Mytilus edulis: one gene and its partner. Each later gene encodes a partner of the first gene's protein in a complex. Links are inferred from orthologs where the notes say so. Each region holds a gene or a part of one and is shown on either strand. Other genes may lie near its edges. The genes, in order: target of rapamycin complex 2 subunit MAPKAP1-like and rapamycin-insensitive companion of mTOR-like.

The links.
Region 2: the proteins of target of rapamycin complex 2 subunit MAPKAP1-like (region 1) and rapamycin-insensitive companion of mTOR-like are in contact, whole or in part, in a cryo-EM structure (PDB 7PE7), measured with the Homo sapiens proteins. The link is inferred for Mytilus edulis from reciprocal best matches to the Homo sapiens genes MAPKAP1 and RICTOR. Residues at the interface, in NP_001006618.1 of Homo sapiens: Ala2, Phe3, Leu4, Asp5, Asn6, Pro7, Ile9, Ile10, Leu11, Ala12, His13, Ile14, Arg15, Gln16, Ser17, His18, Thr20, Ser21, Asp22, Asp23, Thr24, Met26, Cys27, Met29, Val30, Leu31, Ile32, Asp35, Val36, Ser84; in NP_689969.2 of Homo sapiens: Arg108, Gln137, Glu140, Thr144, Leu147, Arg148, Arg151, Lys152, Thr155, Arg182, Met183, Arg185, Ala186, Ala189, Cys192, Glu193, Leu196, Leu220, Arg222, Ile223, Glu225, Ala226, Leu227, Thr229, Thr230, His233, Asn236, Arg293, Trp295, Glu844.

What each region holds. Positions count from the first base shown.
Region 1 is NC_092345.1:75,930,636-75,942,345, reverse strand, and holds the start of target of rapamycin complex 2 subunit MAPKAP1-like, read right to left. Parts: upstream 8,221-11,710; 5' UTR 8,087-8,220; intron 3,995-8,086; 5' UTR 3,968-3,994; coding exon 3,837-3,967; intron 1,886-3,836; coding exon 1,797-1,885; intron 1-1,796. UniProt on the Homo sapiens protein: Component of the mechanistic target of rapamycin complex 2 (mTORC2), which transduces signals from growth factors to pathways involved in proliferation, cytoskeletal organization, lipogenesis and anabolic output.
Region 2 is NC_092344.1:106,558,429-106,570,138, forward strand, and holds the start of rapamycin-insensitive companion of mTOR-like, read left to right. Parts: upstream 1-4,499; 5' UTR 4,500-4,518; coding exon 4,519-4,576; intron 4,577-4,667; coding exon 4,668-4,715; intron 4,716-7,745; coding exon 7,746-7,905; intron 7,906-10,410; coding exon 10,411-10,542; intron 10,543-11,710. Other genes in the region: diisopropyl-fluorophosphatase-like, read right to left, coding at 4,143-4,325. UniProt on the Homo sapiens protein: Component of the mechanistic target of rapamycin complex 2 (mTORC2), which transduces signals from growth factors to pathways involved in proliferation, cytoskeletal organization, lipogenesis and anabolic output.

The DNA of each region.
Region 1 (11,710 bases):
CCTATGTTCTATTTTTAGCAATGGCGACCATGTTTGTTGATAGATCATAACTTCGGATAAAATTTACAAACTAGATACCATAAGGAACATTCAATTAAAGTTTGGAAGTATTTGGCCCAGTAGTTTCAGAGGAGAAGATTTTTGTAAAAGATTACTAATATTTACGAAAAATGGTTAAAAATTGACTATAAAGGGCAATAACTCCTAAAGGGGTCAACTGACCATTTCCGTCATGTTGACTTATTTGTAAATCTTACTTTGCTGAACATTATTCCTGTTTACAGTTTATCTCTATCTATAATAATATTCAAGATAATAACCAAAAACAGCAAAATTTCCTTAAAATTACCAATTCAGGGGCAGCAACCCAACAACGGGTTGTCTGATTCATCTGAAAATTTCAGGGCAGATAGATCTTGACCTGATAAACAATATTACCTCACGTCAGATTTGCTCTCAATGCTTTGGTTTTTGAGTTATAAGCCAAAAACTGCATTTGACCCCTATGTTCTATTTTTAGCAATGGCGACCATGTTTGTTGATAGATCAAAACTTCGGATACAATTTATAAATTAGATACCCTAAGGAACATTCAGTTAAAGTTTGAAAGTATTTGGCCCAGTTGTTTCAGAGGAGAAGATTCTTGAAATAGTTTACGACGACGACAGATAGACGACGACGGACGCCAAGTGATGTCATAAGCTCACTTGTCCCTTCGGGACAGGTGAGCTAATAATAATACGGAAAAAGAAACAGAGGAAAAGCAATATGTCACCCGACATTGTCGATCGGGTGACATAATTATATGTCAAATTTATAATTGAATGCAATGCAGACAAACCTGATCACATATCTAAGAACTGATTTGTTTTGCAAGTGATTTCATAATACATGTAATAAGAGAGACTAACCTTTGAAAAAATTTGTTTGTGTAATGATGTTATTTGTGAATGTTATGTATCTGTACTTGTGTTAAATGATTATGAGGAACCATAAAGTATGGAGATTGAATACACAATCATAATGTGTCGTATAGAAACGAAATAAAGGGACATTGTTCAATATATCTAGTTTACACTTATCACAAACTGTATTTCCTGAATTCAAAATTTATTACGCCCTACTTGAGCTCGAATCAAACCACAGATAAGTCAAATACTTTTGTCCTGTCCCCTAGACTTCGACATAACAAGGTTCAGCTGAATAAACAATTTCTACCATAAAACTGCTTAAAAATGCTGTGGCATATTCTGATTCATATTATCATACTTTATCTACATTTAGATTTTAAACTTTATTTTCAAATGGATGCCAAGTTACAAGAGACTTTGCAGCCTTGAGAGTTTAAAAGTATGCAGACTCATATGCTAATTTCAGACTAGAACCTTCCTGGCAAAACATGGTCGCAATCAGAACACATCGGGCCATTCAGCTTATTTGCTTTGTCAATGAAAGAGGTGTCAGGTTGACCCAGGGTCATTGCATAAATCAGCTCCCATAATGCATTGCACTTTGCTTTATCTCATTGGTCATGTGACAATCTTTCAAAGTGAATGTAAAATGCAAAAATCGATAGGTCACTGTGAAAATTGTCCAGAAAATAAAGGGTGGCAGGTTCATTTGTAGATGAAACTTACATAAATGAAGAGATAAATGAAAAAGGAAAAAATTGAAGCCCGATTAATATGGATCCATGGGTTAGGTTGATGACAGGACAGGACAAAGGTGTGTCATTATAAATATGGATTCATTTACAAGTTTCTGTCAGAGTCCATTCCACTGACATTAATACTAACCATATCCCATATCAGGGAGGATATCATAGGAACTTGACAGGTTGGTGTCAGAGTCCATTCCACTGTCACTAATACTTGAAGAATCATGTCTGGAAAAAAATATATCATTTCATTAATCATTCTCTCCTTCTTAGATTTAAGAAAATGTGGTATGAGTGCCAATGAGAAAACTTTCCATCCGAGTCACAATTAATAAAAGTAAACCATTATTGGTCATAGTTCGGTCTTCAACACAGAGTCATGGCTTACACTGAATAGCAAGCTAAAATGACTAGTGTAAAACCATGCAAACGTGAACACCAATGCTTTAATCTACACAAATAAAATGATTCAAGGAGCTCAGCCTGATACCACCACAGAGGTCAAACCCTGAAAAGTTGGGGCAAGTTTGACCAATATTTAAGCTTGATACTGTCTGAATTTGGATTGTGAGTTAAGTTTTGACATAATATGTTTCTAACACAATGTTAATGTGGTCAAAGATCTAAATCAAAGTTCTTGTAAGTACTGAAGGGTAAAGATTGCTTTATTTTATCACATGGAAGTAAAATTAAATATTGCATTTCCAATAAAGCATTTTTTGTAGTTATTTCAACTATAGTTCTGGACAATGGGAGATAACTCCAAATTTAAAGGTGATTTTAACAATGACATCATTTATATTTTTAGAACAGATATAAGATTCCTGCACCTTGCAAAAGTTATAACATGGTTTTGTGATTTGATACCTAAGCGTATATTTAAATTAATAAATTTCTGTAAGTGTTAAGGGATAGGATGTATAGAATGTTATGATCAATGCACTATATTTTGTGTATCAAAAATGTAGAGATTTTAGATATCAAGTCAGTAACATATGATTTTGATTGCATTTCATGCAATCTTTACCCAAAAAAATCTATTGTGCATTACTGTGCTATTGCACAATACTGTTCAATTGAAGAATTCTTCTTGAAACTTTTCAAAAATTTTGAAGACACACACTTTATTGTACAGAAACTTCTACACAAATCCTTTTTTTGGTCCCTTATTCCTAATCTGTTAGTACCACAACCCCAAAAATCAATCCCAACCTTTCTTTTGTGGTATTGAACCTTCTTGTATTTCATAGTTTTATTCACTTAAATTTAAGTCTGGAAACAACACTTATGGACCCCACAACAAACAACAACTACTGAACATCAGATTCCTGACTTAGGACAGGTGCAAACAATTGCAGCCAGTTTAAACGTTTTACCAACCGTCACCCTTATCTGAAACAATAGTGTTACATCACAACATAGAAAGACACACTATAAAATATCAATTGAAATGACTTAATGAACTCAATTATAAACATAAAATCACAAGTGAACTGACAACATACACCAAACGATATTCATATTTTGATAATTTTACAGCCTACCTCTTATTGACTCTTTTGCTTCAAATAAACAAGTTTTATGATATAAGTTTTTAGCTGTTGTAAACCCTATGATTTAGGACTGCTGAAATATTATACGATCAGTGATGCAATCCTTTTAAATGTTATTTCAGGGTATAGAGTGTGGTCAAAGTTAGACTGATGGTTCAGCAAAGAGTTTTGAAAATTTTTCTATCATGTATTTGTCATCATGGTCATACATGGTCTGCATCTATCATGTCTATAATCATTCTCTTTACTTTGTATGCTGAAATGAGTAATACTAATAGGAAAAGGGATTGTAAACATTGTAAACTAGACCTAGGACATCTTCATTGTAGTCATTGGTTTTACAAGCATGAGTCAGGACTAAGGATTCATATGTGATTTTAGCATGTACATGTACAGGATTGTATATACAATACTATAAATAATAAATGGGGAATGTGTCCATGGGACCCCGATGATGCCCCAGCTTGCATATACATTGTAATATAAAGTTATATAGGGACATAACATATGCACTGTTTATAACATTTTTCAAAAGACAGGTTTATGGCAAATAACACAAAGTATGTGTTTAAATGTTTCTCTAAAATGATTGTCTATACATCTGTATAGAGTATTAGACTGTTTACCTGCTTTTAGAATCATATTCATCATAATCTTCACTCTCAATAATTAATTCACACATCCCTGTGTCATCACTGGTAATGAATGAGTTTCTCAAGTGAGAGATCAGAAATCTGGCATTATCTGTCATAGCCATGGTTACAGCCTATCTGTTTAAGTAAATCTGAAGAAAAAAAACACATGTAAAAAGTACAAACCTCATACTAATACCAATATTCTAATTCTGTATCTCATTTCTTATCTACAAAGTAAGTGTTGTGACAATGTTATGTATAACTATTTGTTGTTCATTTGCAGGATTGAAATTGTCTTATTGTCATGTTCTGTGAGACCAAGCTTGATTGAAAGTAATTAATTACCATAATAACGATTACCACACCACCTTCTGTATGTGCTTGTCTCAAGTCAGGAGCCTGAAGTTTAGTGGTTGCATTGGTTCATGCCTTAAATTTGGATGGACAGCTTTCTTATATTCTAATTTGAACTACAATGTAGTTATTAAAGCATGAAAGGGCGTTTAAGGAAACTACAATTCTAATAATAGCAGATAAACTCCATAACAGATATGTGAGGGTGAAGATGAAATGCAATTTGTAATGATGATATGTTAAACATTGTATAACCAGATGCTCTGCAGGGCGCAGCTTTATATGACCGCAGAGGTTGAACCCTGAACGGTTGGGGCAAGTATGAACACAACATTCAAGCTGGATTCACCTCTAAATTTGGATTGTGATTAAATAGTTGATACAGCATAGGTTTCTGATACAGAATGAATGCAGTCTAATGAACTTAAAAAATTTTTGCCTTTGAGGAATTCACTATGCTGTTGAATATTAATCCTCTCAAAAAAATGTTTGAAGAAATTTTCTTTTTATTTATGAAATCTGTCAAAATGTCAAAATGTCGAAATCGATGTGTGACTGTAAAAACTGTCTAATAATGAGAAAATAAAGGTTGGCAGGTAAGTGAAACTTACATAAATGAAGAGATAAATGAAAAATGAACAGATTGATGCCCGATTTATATAATTCCAAGGCCGTCAGTCGGCACCAGAAGCGACGAAGCAGCGCATCTATTTTGGGTGGGCAAATATCCACTTTTTGATATGGGACGGGCTCTGACCTCCCACGGTCCCAGCTTGTCTGGCAAAACAGCCGTTGGACGTCAGAGTAATCTCGTACTAGTGTCAGTTGTTTGTTTAACTTATGGTGATTAAAAAGGTGTCAACAATACACGTAGCATAATGTCATAATCAATTATAAAGACCTAATTAAGAATTGAAAATTAATTTCCAATAACAACAACCAACCAACATCATACTTGTATTCTTCTAGTAGTCCGAGTTTGGTATAGTCCGAGTTAGGTATAGTCCGATTTTGGGAGGCCAATTATGTTATAGACCGAGTTTGTTATAGTCCGATTTTGTTATAGGCCGAGATATCATGGATTCAGCTAGTCCATCGATGTAAGGCGTCAAAGAAATCAAAGAGCTGAAAGCTCTGAAGAAAAATGACGCCACTGTCTCTAATATTGGGATAGTTTTTATGCAAGTCTTGATTTTCACATACCGTAATTAGTTTAACAATGCAACATGTCTCGTAAGCATATTATTGATATTCGTATATATATGTGTGTGTGTGAAGTGAAGGTGACAACTGGCTGTTTTTTAAGACAAATGAATAGGTCAAGACTACCTGAATTGTACAAATAAATACCGTAGAAAGGCTTGTATATTTCTCACTGGTACATAGTCTGAATCCGGTTCCGTTCGTGCCCACTCATGTTCGCCCCTTTCACTTTCATTCCCTACATGTTCGCACCCAATCTTAATTGGTTTTGTGTTTAATAACTCTGTAAGCAAGTGTTTTCTTATAAGTATAATTGTTGTCATTGTTTTTTTGTGTTGAATAAATCTTAATCATGTTTTAGATAGCGTATTGTTAAAAATTATAATAATCCTTTCTAAATAAAGTGGTATTTTGTCAACGTTTTATTTTGTGTTGAATAACTCTTAATCATGTTTTGGTTAGTGTATTGCTATAACTTTGTTTCATTGACTTCTTTCAAAATGAAGTGAGATTCTGACTATGTTTTTTTCTGTGTGTTGAATAGATTTTATCATGTTTTGGTTATAATAGTGGATTGCTATATTTTGGTTCCTATATTTTATTGTTTCGTTGTTTCAGATCAAAGGGACCAAGCTGTTAAAAACAATTATCTTTTGTGTTTTCCTTTAAAATCTTCAATGTTTTACTCATACCAAGCTATAAATACATTCAGTATTTACACCAAAGCAATTTAAAACAACAATCATGATTTTCCAATTATTCAACTTGAATTTGAATTAAAATTGGGCGCAAATGAGTAGAGTGCAAACGGACCTTCGGTGCGAACGTGCGAGGTGCGAACGTGTAGGGTGCGAAAGTGAATTGGACGCGAACAGACCTGGTACCACATAGTCTGAACCCCCTTCTCCCACAAAATATTAAGTAAATAATCTTTTTGTTACTGTTATCAAAGGTTTAATGAAACTCAGGTAATTTCAAACATTTGTCAAAGAATTCTAGTCAAACCGGCACCTGGTTAAATTGGCACCTGGACAAATCAGCACCTGGTTAAATCGACACCTGATATAGTCAATTTGTCACCCATATTAAATATAAATTTTAACAGTATTTTAAGCAAAAAGAGTAAAAATAAGTAAGGGGTTGCCAGGATTTTTTTCAGTATTTAAGCAAAAAGAGTTAAACATGTTAAATACTAACTTTCACATTTTTGGGTGTTCATGTACATTTTGTATATATTTATTTTTCTCAACTTAATGACTTTTTTGGTGTATTTTTAATGATATATATATGAGTAGTCAAAATAATTATTACGTCTGGCAAGGCTTTTTAAATTTTATTCTGGGACACCTTTCTATGACTGCAAGGCTATGTTTATTTTTTTCTGGGACGCCTTCCTACGAACTTCATAGGAAGACATCACAGAAAAAAAAATAGCCTTGCCAGACGTCATAATTATTTGGACTAATACATGAGATATTGGATATTTTTATGCATTATTTAAACCAGTTGAGCATTTTACAGGATTGTTTGTTTAATGCTTTTTAAACTTTACTGAAAAAAAACACCTTAAATTTGCTTATTATTTGGCATGAAAGTTTGATTTATTGAAAGGGACTCATAGTTTTCCATTTTATTTTAATAATTGTCTAATTGTTAAAACAACAGCTTGGGTAAGGGCTTCGTTGTTTACCTTTATACACAACAACATAGTTCACTTTGGTTTCGTTGTTTACCTAAATACACAACAACATATTCACTATGTACTTGGTAACAGTTATTAATTAATTGAATAGAAAATATTATAACAAATATTATTGGATGCCGAATTGACGTCAAATAGGTGCCGATTTGACTAGATGCCAATTTAACCAGGTGCCGACTTGACTTGTACGTTTCAATTCCTCTGCGATCGTTTGCGGTATTTTCTTGAGAAAAACCTATTTTCCATCATCAAAGAGAAGAAGAAACTGCTTGAAAATGATTCTGGAACGCTTCATGATTGTTAAAATAAGTTAAATTCACTCACTATGTTTTACAATTTTAAAACTTGCGATGTTTAAACAGGAAGTTTCAAAAGCATGTGTAAAAGAAGAAATTAACCGGTGAGAGTGGAAATCCGTACATAACAGATATCACTATAGTACGACTTTGAAAGCAAAACAGTTCCATCCTTTTGTAAAACAGTCTTTAATATACCTATCACATTAATGTTTGACGGGTCTTAAGCTTATTCAAACCATAAAAGTCGGTATGAAACACCAAAACGGAATGAACAATAACCGATTACGTTTTGTAGTTTACAAATTCTAAACTGGTTCCCGTCAAACTACAACACTTTGTTCGAGTGTAGTGGAATACAAGTAGAAACCAGTTAGTTTGTAAACTGGTTCCTGGCTGATTACTACACAATGACCTCTCATGCATAATGATAACACAAGCAAATTCCAGTTTGTATAGAAAATAGTAAATACGAAACCAAGCGCGGTAGGCAGAGAATGTAATGAAGTTCAGGTCGCCAGTAATGGAACAATGACTGCGTCATTTTCCAAAAAATTATAATAGCCTTTCAAGACGTCATAATTATTTGGACTAGGATTCAGCAGGATCATACACCAGTTTCACATTAATATTGATGAATCAAATATCAACCAACCCAGCTGTTTCACGTGACAATAATGTCTTACTTGTATTATACAATTGATGGAATGAACATCTTGAATACAAATTTGGTGTTATTAAGTTGTTTAACTTAATGTAAAAACCAAAACAAAGTGGCCGCAGGCTAAGACAAGGGAGGTAATTACGATAAAAATAAAACTCGGAACGTAACCGGAGAAGTTACGATAAAACGGAATTTGTTGATTGGTGGTGTTTCAGCCTCAGGTAATACTTCAGAAAAATAGTATTGTATTTCTAATCTACTATACTATGAAGCTTAGAATAATATATATATTTTTATCTTCTTTAAGTCGTTGGTTCTTCTTAATTTTAATTCTGTCTTGATTTACACTTCTATTCCTGAAGCTACACATGCTACATCATACATGTGCTATATATATATATATATATATAGCAGGTTAGTCCAAAAGGGTAATTCAGTATAAGTAAATTATTATGACGTCTTGGAAGGCTATTTTAATTTTTGCTTTGATGCCTTCCTGCGTTGATGTAAGGCATATTTGACAGAATTAAAGAGAAAAAATGTAATAGCCTTTCAAGACGTTATCATTATTTGGAGTACATTAGTACATTTAATCTATAATTCAGAGCTAACTGAATCTTCAAATTGCTCTGAACTCTTTAATTATTCTGCTTTTCTTTCAAATGTCTATTTCCTTTCTGTTGCTAGTAGCTATAGTGTCTGACAAACTATTTGGATGTTTTGAATCTCCAGCAGTCTTCATTATTCTCTTTTCTGGTGGTATCTTGTAAAATTAAAATGATTTATAAAATTGAGAATGGAATGGGGAATGTGTCAAAGAGACAACAACCCGACCATAGAGCAGACAACAGCAGAAGGTCACCAACAGGTCTTCAATGCAGCGAGAAATCCCTGCACCCGGAGGCGTCCTTCAGCTGGCCCCTAAACAAATATATATACTAGTTCAGTGATAATGAATGCCATACTAAACTCCAAATTGTAGACAAGAAACTAAAATTAAAAATAATACAAACTAACAAAGGCCAGAGGCTCCTGACTTGGGACAGGCGCAAAAATGTGGCGGGATAAAACATGTTTATGAGATTTCGACCCTCCCCTATACCTCTAGCCAATGCAAAAAAGTAAACGCATAACAATAGGCACATTAAAATTCAGTAGTCCGAAGTATAGGAAGTGTTCTGTGTCTTCCTCTTCACCACATTCCTATATGGTGTAAGGGATTGGCCTATCTGATGACAGTATTTATTATGTCTATTCACTCTATTGTATACTTTCACTTTGCCTGTTATAAATTTCGACATGATTCTCCCTATGGATTCTCATAATCAAGTGAATGGGTCTTACTCACAGTAGGAACTAGTTCATGTAGTTGTCTCCCAGTTTCACTTCTAGTCCATTTTTTTTTTGCCATGTCAGATGTATAAAATCTATACTTCAGTGAACTGCTCTTTAAGCATGTTAAGTCATGTAAGTGTGTAAATGTAGAGTTCAAAAACCAATAGGATAGCTACGAGTTACATGTAAGCTAAGAGTATTGTCACTATTTAGACTGCTAGCTACTGCATGGTTTAAGCTAGTTCCTTTATTCGGCTTTAACTCTAAATGAAGACTATTTCACATATTGTATATTTGTTTATCAAAAGTTTCTGTTGAGCATATCCGTTAATTATTAGTATAATTACATGCATCACAGTAAACCCATATTTGTTTTGCCTATCAAAAGTTCAACTGGAAACTTCATGGTGAACTTTGTTATAATTTAAACAATACTATATAATATACATATATTTCTATTCAGCTGTTTGAACAAATATCATGTCATCATTATTCCTGTAGGAAAAATACTGTAATATTTGTTCCAATGAAAATTATTTTACTGCTTAATATTTTTTTTTCCATTTGGAAATCTTGGAACTTATTTTATAAAGGAAATTCTATTTCATGATAGTACTTATGTATGAAACAAATAACCAACAGACACATACACATGTACAAGATAATCACCACAAAAAAGACTAGAGACCCACAAATATTAAAAAAACATACAAATACACAGGGGCGGATCCAGCCATTCCCTTACCAAAAAGTGCTAACATGTTGCACATAAGTTGCACATAAGATGCTCACGTTAGAAACTAACATGATTGCACACGAGTTTTTTAACATGCAAATTAGGTGAGCATTTTGTGAGCAAAAAAATTGCACATATGAAACTAACCTAATTTGCATGTTAAAAACCTCACGTGCAACTGCTCATATGAGCTTTTGTTTCACATGTGCATTTTATTAGATTGCTCATATGAGCAGTTGCTAACATGTTGCACACGTGAATATTATAGTTGACCAAAACAAAATGGCTGCTTTAAAAAATGAATATTTTTCAAATTTAAATGAAAATCTTAAATAATTCAGTTGAAAATAAAATAACTGATACATCATGTAAAAAGAGTTATTCTTTAATTATTGTCAGTTAATTATGATTTTCATATGATTTTTTTTTTTTATTTATTTAAACAATAATCATGATCATGACTAAAAACATAACATTACATTATAAAACTAATAGAGGGACTTGCAAGTTTAGTACACAATGAATATCTTTGATTAATAAGTACTGTATTTCAAAAAGTTTAAAAGGAAAAATCTTTATACATGTAGTACTTATTTTGAAGCAACCTGTATATATATTCCCATAAAGGACTTAAAATTGTAATATATTTCAAAATCTGACACAAAAATGAAAATAATGAAATAGAAATGATAACTTACAAAAATAATTAACCACAGCCACACTGGTTTTATCAGATTTCAACAATGCCTTTCTTCAAATAGCACAATATAGGACTTAACATTTTCCATATCCATCTACCTTCATTTATTGCATGCTTTTCATGAATTTGAATTTACAGGAAGTACATGACTGGGCATGTCATTTTGAAAAAGCTCATATGAGCAATGATGTAGGTTAGTTTTGAATGGTTAGAAGAATGGAAAAACTTTTCAAAGTACAAAACTAACATAAAACTAACATGGATGATAAAAGCTCACCTGAGGTTTGAATTGCACATGTGAGCATTATGTTAGATTTTTGTGGGCACATATGAACTACCAAACTGCACATATGATCAACCTGATTTGCATACAATTCTTATTTGCATCTCATGTGCTTCACATGTGAAACTTATGTGCTTTTGTTAGCAATTTCTGTACGGGTAATAAAAAGGGGGGTTTCCCATCCCAGAGTAAAGGGGGGTTCCAGCTATATGCTCCCATTCAAATGCATTGATCGGTAAAAAAAAAGGGGGGTTCCAACCCCCAGAACCCCCCCTCTGGATCCGCGCTTGAATACATCAGTTCTAAACAAAGTATAGATAACAGTATTTCTTTCCAAATATACACATAGTCATAAATACATGATTGATAACATGTATTAATAATTACCAAACATCATTTGTTTAACAGTAAAGATCTAGAATGACTTTTAATTGATAAGGAGGGTGAACAGACTCTGTAAGAAAATGATCCCTTGGTAACATGTGTCAAAGCTGTAAGCAAATATAGGCAACCATCATGACCATATGGCCTTAATAATTAATGAGAAAATCCTTACAAAATAGATGGCTACGAAATGCCCCTTCTTGAATAA
Region 2 (11,710 bases), on another chromosome or scaffold:
CTGAAAAAATCAACATACCTTACATGGCATATAAGAAAGAACTGGTTCCCGGAACTTCGGATGTACCAAAACAGGTACTTCCGATCTGACAAAAAGGCAAAATGTACCCTCCTTTTTAAATTTCATGCCATTTTTTTATTATTCAAATTTATCAGTCAAAAATTGTTCTACAATGAAGCTTTCATTTGATACCAAAATTAATAAAATATTCTAAATATTTTGAAAGTTATGTCCATGCGTAGGAACTATTTTGTGTTAAATATGTACTACTTTCTGGTATGTGCTTTCTGGCCGGGCCCGAATTAGTGGTGTTACACCTAATAGCCTTTCAAGATGTTATAATTATTTGGACTAGGTACATGAGACTAATGCACCTTATTGCTATTCCAGGCTGACCCAGAATCTTTCCCACTTGAACTTCTGACGTCATACAACAATCACTTTGGCGTCAGATATTTTGTATCATGATGTCAAAATTTTACTGGAACCTGTGTGATGTCCAGTAATGGCGGACAAATAGCGATCAGTGTATACTGCCTTCTCCTCATTCCGGTGTATCCCTGATTCCGGTGTAATGTTAAATTGCGGGTATTTGTTGAACTAAAAGCGCGTGCAAGGGTCAGGGGTTACAGGTTACAGACAACTGGTGCATCGCTGTCATCAAGAAATGTAAATACGTCAAACAGTCTTCATTACAGGTAAATATATATATATTAGCGCACGATAGTATGATTTCCATAATTCCCAAATTCATGCATATGCCATAAAATATCAAGCCATCTAAAAATATTGAATAATCATCCCAAATCGATTTATTGTTATTGATTTCTCGTCTGCCATTTGCAAGGCGTCCCAAACAACAGTCACGTGATGATACAGCCTCGATATGACTCTGAAAAATCTATGGAAAGCCTGATTAACAAAAATGAACACTTTTACAGTTTATTTTAGAAAAAAGTTATTAATCTCGTTTTTATGTTTATGAAACTATTTATGTTGATTGAATTTAATAAAAATTAATAAATATGAATATGAAGAACATATTACTGTGATTAAAGGACAAAATGCTTGCACAATAATTATTAAAAGAAATGTGCTTTATAATTAATTGAAGGTATAAAGGGGGGGGGGGGGGATGAAAATATTTTTTTCAAACTGAATTTAAGATTTTACTGATCTTTTGTAAATGTTTATGTCTATTCATTTTTATTACAGATATTTTTACAATGAAGAAAAAGCAGTATGATCCAAATGCGTTAAAATTTGCCTATGATGCTGTACAAAATGGAATGTCTGTTTACAAAGCTGCAAAAAACTATGGTATTCCAGAAAGCACGCTTAGAGATAGGACACTTGGTTTGGTTTCTGTGGATGGGAGATGCTCCAATTACCTTTTTGATGAGTCTACAGAGAAAAAAATGGTGGACCACATTGCACATATGGCCAGCATTGGTTATGGTTATTCAAGAATAGATGTCATTTATCTAGCAACTGATTTAGCTGTGTTTATGGGCAAGAGAAAACCTCAAGAGGATATATTGAGCAACAAATGGTATTACTCTTTTATGAAAAGATGGCCAAATCTAACTATTAGTAAACCACAGAAATTATCCATGCAGAGAGCTAGATGTGCATCAAAGGAGACACTATCTAACTATTACAAAGAGTTGGGCACTATTATGACCAAAAACAATCTGCATGAACAGCCACACAAAATATTTAATATGGATGAGAGTGCTCTACAAACTGAACATAGCCCAGGTAAAATTGTTCATGACATTGTTGTTAAGCCCCAGTCTGTCACATCGCCAAGATCTGCAAATGTCACTATAATTGGTGCTGGCAATGCAATTGGAAATGCTGTTCCACCTTATTATGTATTTCCGGGTGTTAAATTTGACAGGGCTCTACTTCTTGATGGGACTCCACCTGGTTCTGATGGCCAATGCAGTAAATCTGGATGGTCTAACAGTGAAATATTCAAAATGTACCTGGAAAAGCATTTTCTCAAGTATGTATCACATGATGTCTCTGGCACTCCTCTTCTTATATTGTTTGATGGCCACCGCTCACATGTGAGCTTAACTTTGCAAGATTGGGCTGAATCAAAGAACATCATTCTTTTCATACTTCCACCACACTGTAGCCACATTTTACAGCCATTAGATATAGGGTGTTTTGGACCATTAAAGGCTTGTTACAACCGGGAGGCACAGTTGTTTATGAGAAAAAATCCAGGATGTAAAATTACAAGGTATAACATAGGACAAATGTCTTGTTCTCCCTACCAGAAAGGTCTATCTGCACAGAACTTGATATCATCTTTTAGGAAAAGTGGGATATATCCTTTTAACCCAAAAGCTGTTGACACCAGCGAACTTGCTCCAGCTACAATTTACCCCACAGCTACATCAGATGAAGCAAGTACAATGAATAATACACAAATTTCACAAGAAGATGACAACACTTCCTCTCAGCAATTCAACAAAGCTGCCACTCTGACGATACAACAATTTGAAGCTTCATCATCAGCCCAAAAGGAACAAGATATCTCATCAGATCAAGATGAATCAAATAGTCAACCGTTGCTTACTCTAGTTCCTCCTGAAAGCAGGTACTCTGATGACATTCAAATATATACCGCAGAACCAATAATTGAATTGAACACATCAAACAACTCTTCGAATATAACCACATGTACAGTAAACAGTTCTCCATCCGGATTCCTGCTAAAAAGAAATGTTGTTTCAGTTGAAAAGACAGAAAAGAAAAGGAAACACTTCACAATCACAGGAAATTTAGGAAAAAAGAAAAATATGGATCATCTGAATCAGTCAAAAAAGAAAGGAACTTTTAAACCACCCTATAAAAAAGCAGAGCCTAAGACAGTTGAAAAGGAAACTAGAAATCAAAACAAAGCAGGAAAAGATACCAAAAAGAAGGCACCTGTAAAAAGAAAAAGTTCAACTGTGATGGAAAAAATTGAAAAAAAAATTAGATTATCAGAGGATGATGTTAATGCAGGTCTTGGTACATCTGGTTTAAACAAGGATAAAGGAGGACCAATATGTCTTGAGAATTCATTTAGTGACAGTGATGAAACCGATGATGACGACGGTGAAACTTGCTGTGTTTGTAATAAGAAATCTCCCTCAGAGATCAGACAACTAGCAGGAATTGTGTTTGTCAAATGGGCACAATGTGACAATGATAACTGCCGTCACTGGACACATCTCCAATTCTGTAGTGATGTTAGAGTCTTGCGGAGAGGGGATACTTTCTTTTGTCCACACTGTAAAGAACAGTAAACTGTCCAATATACAGAACACTATTCCAAAAACTGTTATTCTGATTTAAAAAAAAACAACAAACAATAGATTTAAAAGAACTGTTTAATATTAATGTAATTTTTCTATTTATTCAGTTAAAGTAGATTTTCAAAAAGTGAAACTTTGTGAAATATTTTTTTCCCACTATTGACATCAAAATAGAATTATTAAAATAATTTCCACAAAAGAGTGAAAGTAAAACAAAAATTTGAATGAGAATTTTTTTTTTTTATATAAATTTAGAAAAAAAATCTTGCATATATTGGACTTTTCAACATTTTTCATCTTGTCAAAAATAATTTGTGTATTTGTCCTAAATAAAATCGTGTTTTGCTGATCTGTACTTCTTACTAGAATATTAGCGTTATTTGATGCACAAAATAAGGTGCATTAGTGTTCCAAGTTGTCCTCCATACTATATTTTACCTTTGCACCGGAAAGAGGTTAATAGCAAAAACAATGATGGGTGGTGATCACCGATTTTCAATCATTTATTAAACTGATAAAACTTGACAAATGGGTAACATATTATGCATCATTGAAGAGCTAAATAACTGAATTTTATTTATTTCAATCATATTTGTTCCGTTTAGTTCGAAAAATGCGTTTGGAATAATGATTAACATTTTGACCACCGGAATGGGGTTAACCCAGTATATAGGGTGTCGGAGCTAAGGGGTGACAGACCAATTGGGCGTCAGACTAGTAGAGTTACCATGTTGGCGTATCAGGTCGACCCAAAAAAAATCATCACACCTTATATCTGGGGGGTTTTCAGGTACATGTTTAAATGAAAACGCTTCAAAAACATACTTTACAAGTTGAAAGATCAACTTTTAAAATCTGTCCTGCAAATGCACCATCTTTTTCAACCTCAGGAGCAACCATGTAAAAGTTTCCATCCTTATCAAACACTGGACCTTCCGACCCTAATAATTTGTCAGCAATCTTTGTAAATTCGTGTTGTGAAATTTTAGGGGCACCTGTGTCGGCCATGGTCAAAGTAGCTTTTGCTTGTCGTAAATTAGACAAGATGTAAACAAAGTAGTTTTGATTTACTTCAATAAATAAATTATTTTCAAATTGGTATTAAAATCTGAAGAGAACAAAGATTATTTTACAATTTAGTTGCCTTGTATCTTGCTATCGAATAATTTTACGACTAGCCGTAAAAATAGGAAGTAAAAATATGGCGGCCGTTGGGGCTCGCCAGGGCATACGGTCACACAAAACAGGGCGTTTTAAATGTATGTAAATCTTTCATGAAATCCTATTTACATTACATATCTCAATTATATCCTTAACTTTGTAACTATGTACTTTTTTCTTTCATTTCAGCTCGAAATGACAGTGGCGATGAAGTTTTTCGATTGGACTTTACCAAAGGTTTGTTATTTATGAAATGTCAACTTTATAATTACAACAAAAACAACTTGCTATGGGGAAACAAATATTCTCACAGTTGAAAAACATTGCACAACTACTGTCATTTTATAAGATTTGATTTACTGTGAATTTGAATTGTGCAGATCTGCCTGTCAGACCTGTCTACAGACAGGACATAACAGGCCTATTACAGTATCCATCATCTAAATGTACCATTTGGTGCATATTTCCCCTGGAAAAATTGACATATGAAGCAAATATCTTTACACCACATGTCATATGCCGAGTTTCCCCAAAATGACCTCAGGTAAACTTTGGCAGTGCATTCATAAATGAAAATTTCGGAAGCTTGTGTAGAGTTTGTGTATACACCTTATCGCTAATAGGGCTCTTCACGGTTAGTTCAACCATATTTGATAGGGGGCAGATTTTCATAATGGAGGTAAAAATGGTGTGAAAAATACAAGAAAACATCATATAAACAGAGCAGTTGCTTGAGGGGGGATAGGACCTTTATCGGGACTACGGAATCAGGTCTTTTAAGCTTGGGATTTCAGGATTGACCCTTATGTGAACCGGGAATTCTTTTTTGTGGATTTTTGGGACGTCAGGATTTAAAGTCTGGGATTTCAGGATCAGGACCTCTCCTATCCCCACATGCACTCTTGCTTGGAAACACACATAGGATTTCCCATACTTTCATACTATTTTCACATCTTTCTAAAAAAATCTGCCCCCTATCCAATATGGCCGAACTAACCTTGAAGAGCCCTATCCCGGCTGACCCGAGAATCTGTCCCGCTTGAACTATTGTCACTAGATATATGTTAAATATTGAAGTAAACAAATTCAGAAAATAAAATCATTTTAGTCATTTTGTCAATTTGATGTACAGTTCAGAATATATTTCAATTGGTTGGTTTTCTTTTTTATGCATACTGTGGATTCATTTATTTTCATTGGTATCAATTTTGGTGGATTGCTGAAAACTTTCATTTTCGTGGATATATAATTTCATGGTTTTGCCAATCTCTGTATATAAAGCCTATTGAAAATATGTTATTCGCTGAACATATGAATTTGTGGTTCATCTGTACCCACGAAACCCACGAAAATTGGTATCCAACGAATAAAAATGAATCCACAGTATCCAAGGGAGTTTCCCTAGGTAATTTGCGTCAACCAATTTGTTTGTATTAAGGGACTTTGATGTTAGTTTGAATGAAAATCAGAAATATAAATTAAAATGCTTGTTGAACACATTTATCTGATTAAAAATTGAATAAACTGGCCTTTCTACCTGCCACTAGTGAAAGCTGTGATGAATGCAAATCTTTCTTTAATTAATTGGTTTTCAAGTGCTTAGATATATGAGAACCCCCCCCAATTATTTTGTTTTTGTTTTAAATTGAAATTTTAATTATTCGAAGTAAATAGTATGACCCCCCTAAAAATAAGAAAAATCCCCCCCCCCCCCCCCCCATTTTTTTTAAATTTAAAATTTCAAAATATATATATCAATTCACCAAACAAATTTGACAAGACAGATTTTTTGCAGTGGTCTAAAACATTACAGAGAAAATGATTTCGGTATTTGTTTGATGATTGATGAAACAGACTATACTTAATAGACATTGAATTATTCCTCTTAGTACAAGAAAATGTTAAAGAAAAACTCTGGTTGTTCCCCTTGTATTCATTTGTTGTTTAATATAAACAAAAAAAATGAAATACTATTTTCTCAGGCGTGCAAGAACATACAATCAAATGTTTGGTTTTATATTGCTCTAATTGTAGATGACTGTTTAAAAAACCAAATTTCATTGGGTTATTTTGATATTTACAAAATTAAGTTGAAAGGCTACAAACTGACTTTCACCATCATGTCAGACCATACAGATAACAGCTATGATTTCTACTGTGACTCACAGGATCTGTTTTATTCTGCAAGAAAGTCTTTAAATATATACATGATATAAGATCATAAACATCGACGAACTGTTCTTTTGAATAATTTTTTCTATCAAATAGATTAAATATTTCTGGATATTATCAATAATTGGAAAATATATATATATACAGGTACACATGTTTATCATGTAAAAAAATATGTTTCCTTATTACATACATGTACCAGGTTGACAATACAATTTGAACTATTGACACTAGAAAACATCACTTACTAGATATCTAAACTCAAATAGATAACACATTTATTTTTACTGTTTAACAATGTTTAATGCAACTTACAGCATTATTGGCAAGTTATTACTGTCGGTTTAAGCCAATTGAGATGAAGCTAGCAATCCTGGTGAAGAAAGATTGGAGTTGAAGTCACAACCTCAGTGTTGAAATGCTATTGATACAGAAGATGAACTACTTATAAAAAAGAAGATGTGGTATGATTGCCAATGTGACTACTCTCCACAAGAGACCAAAAGACACCAAAATTAACAACTATAGGTCACCTTACAGCCTTCAACAATGAGCAAAGCCCATACTGCATAGTCAGCTATAAAGGCCCTGAAATGACAATGTAAAACAATTCTAACGAGAAAACTAACAGCCTTATTTATGTACAAAAAATAAACAAAAAACAAATATGTAACACATAAACAAACGACAACCACTGAATTACAGGCTCTAGACTTAGGACAGGCACATACATTCAGAATGTGGCGGGGTTAAACATGTAAGACCACATGGCCTCCAAGGCTATTAGCAGATAATTGATCATTCAGATTAAGTCTGTAAATTAAAACACTGAACGATTGTATACTTCCAAGGAAAAATTTATTCTGTTTTCAAATTTACCCTAGCTATGATTCTGCATCTAATATACCCAAGAATTACAAATGTACAAATGTAGTGTTTTTTTGTACATATATATAGGTAGACTGAGGCCATTACTAATCAACAGTCTTGTCATACTTGTGATTGTGATTCAAAGTCCTGCAAATAACTTGAAGAAAGCATTTGTTTATTTTATTAATGGGTATTGGTAGTTGTATAAATCTTATTTTATTTTAGGCCCAACAGATAATTTGAAGGAAATACTGGTGAATACTATTGCACAAATACAGACTTCTAAATCAAGAAAACTGGGCTACTTAAATGCCTTTGTTAAGTTCCTACAGAAATATAAGCAGGAGAAAATTACTGGATTTTCAAAAAGAGATATTTTAAGCTGGTAAGTATTTAGCTGTACATGGTAATCATATGGTATCATCATTTAACCAAACTTTAGAAAGCAGTTTTCTTTAGTTTTTATCAACCATGTATGATAATAAATTGATATTTGATCAAATATTTTCAATGAAAAAAATATTTTCCATTAATAATACAGAGTTCATTTTTATACGACCGCAAACATTAAACAAATTTTAGTCGTATATTGGTATCACTTTGTCAAAGTCGTCTGCATCGTCCGAAGATGAATTGTTTCCGGATAATAGCTTTTGAATAAGTAAAAAGAAATCAATAAAATTTTAACACAATGGTTATAACCATAAAAGGAAGCTTTGGATTGATTTTTGGGGATTTGGTCCCAAAGGTTTAGGAATTAGGGGCCCAAAAAGGCCAAAAACAGCATTTATCTAGTTTCAGGACAAAAAGTTGTATATGAGTATTTCAATTGTTATTTAATTGTACTACAATGTATAATTCCATAAGTAGAAGGTTGGGATTTATTTTAAGGGGTTATTGGGCAAAAAGTTTAGGAATTTAGGGCCAAAACAGGGCCAAAACAAACATTTTTCTAGTTTCAAGACAATAACTTGTGTGTAACTGTATGGATCTCTCTGACATTGTACCACAAGTTTCCATATAACACAGAGAAGGCTGGGATTCAGTTTGGGGTTAATTTTCTTGAATATGTAGGAATAAGGGGCCAAAAAGAAGCATTTTTCTAGTTTACAGACAATAACTTATGTTTAAGTGCATGGATCTCTATAAATTTTTATAAGAAGGTTCAATACTACTAAAGGAAGGTTGGGATTGATTTTGGGGGTTATTGTCCCAATAGTTTAGGAATTAGGGGCCAAAAAGGGGTCCCAAAATAATCATTTTTGTAGTTTTCAAACAATAACTTATGTTTAAGTGTATGAATCTCTCTGAAATTAAACCACAAGTTTCCATACCATGAAGGGATGGTTAGGATTGACTCTGAGGGGTTATGGCTCAAAATGTTTCAGAATTAGGGGCAAAAAAGGGGATAAGCTAGGTATTTCTGGTCAATGGACAATTAAGACAATTTGAAAGCAGGGTAAGGGAGGTAATTCTAAAACATTTAACATACAATGTTGGGTATGTTTGGATTTACCTCCCTTACACTACTTTTATATTATGTATAAAGACATGTCAGGTTTTGGACTAATTGCAAAAAAAGGGGGGGTAGTTGTTTTCAATTATTTTTTTTCAAATTTCTCAAATTCCAAATTTTTGAAAAGTTCAAAGAAGAAATCTTTAATTGCACAACATTGTGCAATAGATTTGTAAGATCTTGACCCTTGTTTAGTGTCAGAAACTCATATTATGTCCAAAAAAATTTCGCAATCCAAATTTAGAGCTGTATCAAGCTTGAATGTTGTGTCCATACTGGCCCCAACTGTTCAGGGTTCGACTTCTGCGGTCGTATAAAGCTGCACCATGCGGAGCACCTGGTTTCACATTTATATTGCATTGCCTAACTCCTGATTTTAAAAGAATTGATCGATTGGTGCAAACAAATGCAGTGGGTTTAAACATTTTTAAAACAGACACCAAACTTCACTGTAACCTGAAACAATAGTGAAACATCACAACATAGAAAAACACACTATAAAATATCAATTGAAATGGCTGAACTCTATCAAATGACATATGAACAAAAACAAGCAAACATACAAAAAACAAATAAATATGATCTATTACAAAATGTAAATTTATAAAAATTTATGAACTTCTAAGAGTTTAAACTTATATTAAAATTCTGTACTACCCCTACCTTTATTTTTGGTCTGCCTCAGAATTAATTTTTCATGGGTATCTTGTGTTTTTATGCTGATAACATTCCCAAGTTATGTCTCGATGATATGAAACAGAGATCTATAGTACTGAGACTACAGTTATTTTGTTTAAACTGAATGGACAAAGTAAACTTACTATTGGTTAGTTTCTGATTAAGGATTTTTTGTCTTGAGGTTGCAGTCTTGTAATTGACTGCTCCATAGGCTTACATGCAAAACAGCTGATCTTTGAAAATAAAAAAATAAAAAATGCTACATAGAAAAAAAAAATCATGTTCATATCATGTATGTACTAATGTGAAATTGTGATTTAATCGGGAAAAAAAAGGGGTCTTGCCACGAAGAATAAAAAGTTACGCAATCCTGAAGTCAAAACATTGTTTTTCTACTTTCTGTTTGCTATTTTTACTAGGCCACACCACTTCCAGTAAACATGATATCCTTCCACTTTCCTGGATTGATATCCCCAAAAGATGCAAGATTTTTTTTAAAGTCTATATATATGTTTCAATTCAGCATAAACCTATAATCAAACAGAAAAAATTGAGTTCAGAAAAAAAATCAGAAAAAAATGCACTATTTTGTTTCCCTCCATGTTTTGACATGCACCGGAAACTGGAGTTGTAATACAAGACTGGTACCTTGAATCCATGGATTTTGATTGATAATTCTTTATGATGATATTTCAGTTTGAGAATAAGTTTGTTTCATGAAGCAAAAGAAGTAAGAGCAGCTACCTTAAGAGTTTTACGGTACTTTATACAAGATGGTGAAGCTGTAGACTTGGTATATGCATTACAGATAGATTATTTGATTGTAAGGTATGTAAATCAGTTAATGAACAAAGAGATGTAGGGTATACATTGATGCCACATTAACCAAACAGCACAATAAAAAATGAGACATCTAAAGATTAATTTTTCAATTTAACATGAAGATTTCAACAATTGTAAAACTCTAAATCATTTAGGGAAGTTGTGAATGACATGTACAAAGATTAGCTAAAGTCAGCAATCAATGCCAAACTCACTAAACAACTGGAACTTGGATGTATGACCATGCAGCAGGGTCAAACAACTTTTGTAAGCACTGATTCCACCTCTTTCTCCTGAATGTATGAACTTATAATTCCTTTGTAATATATGCAGACAAGGTGGACTAGTTTATTCTGGTATATATATATATTAAAATTATTAAAACAAGGTAAATTTTTTGTAATTGATTGGAGGGGGTGAAAAATGAACACATTTTGGCTTCATTTATAATTTCTTAGATATAACATGTTTTACATAAGTAGTTTAAGATGTTAGATATAACATGTTTTACATAAGTAGTTTAAGATGTTAGATATAACATGTTTTACATAAGTAGTTTAAGATGTTAGATATAACATGTTTTACATAAGTAGTTTAAGATGTTAGATATAACATGTTTTACATAAGTTGTTTAAGATGTTAGATATAACATGTTTTACATAAGTTGTTTAAGATGTTAGATATAACATGTTTTACATAAGTTGTTTAAGATGTTAGATATAACATGTTTTACATAAGTTGTTTAAGATGTTAGATATAACATGTTTTACATAAGTTGTTTAAGATGTTAGATATAACATGTTTTACATAAGTAGTTTAAGATGTTAGATATAACATGTTTTACATAAGTTGTTTAAGATGTTAGATATAACATGTTTTACATAAGTTGTTTAAGATGTTAGATATAACATGTTTTACATAAGTTGTTTAAGATGTTAGATATAACATGTTTTACATAAGTTGTTTAAGATGTTAGATATAACATGTTTTACATAAGTAGTTTAAGATGTTAGATATAACATGTTTTACATAAGTAGTTTAAGATGTTAGATATAACATGTTTTACATAAGTTGTTTAAGATGTTAGCTATAACATGTTTTACATAAGTTGTTTAAGATGTTAGCTATAACATGTTTTACATAAGTTGTTTAAGATGTTAGCTATAACATGTTT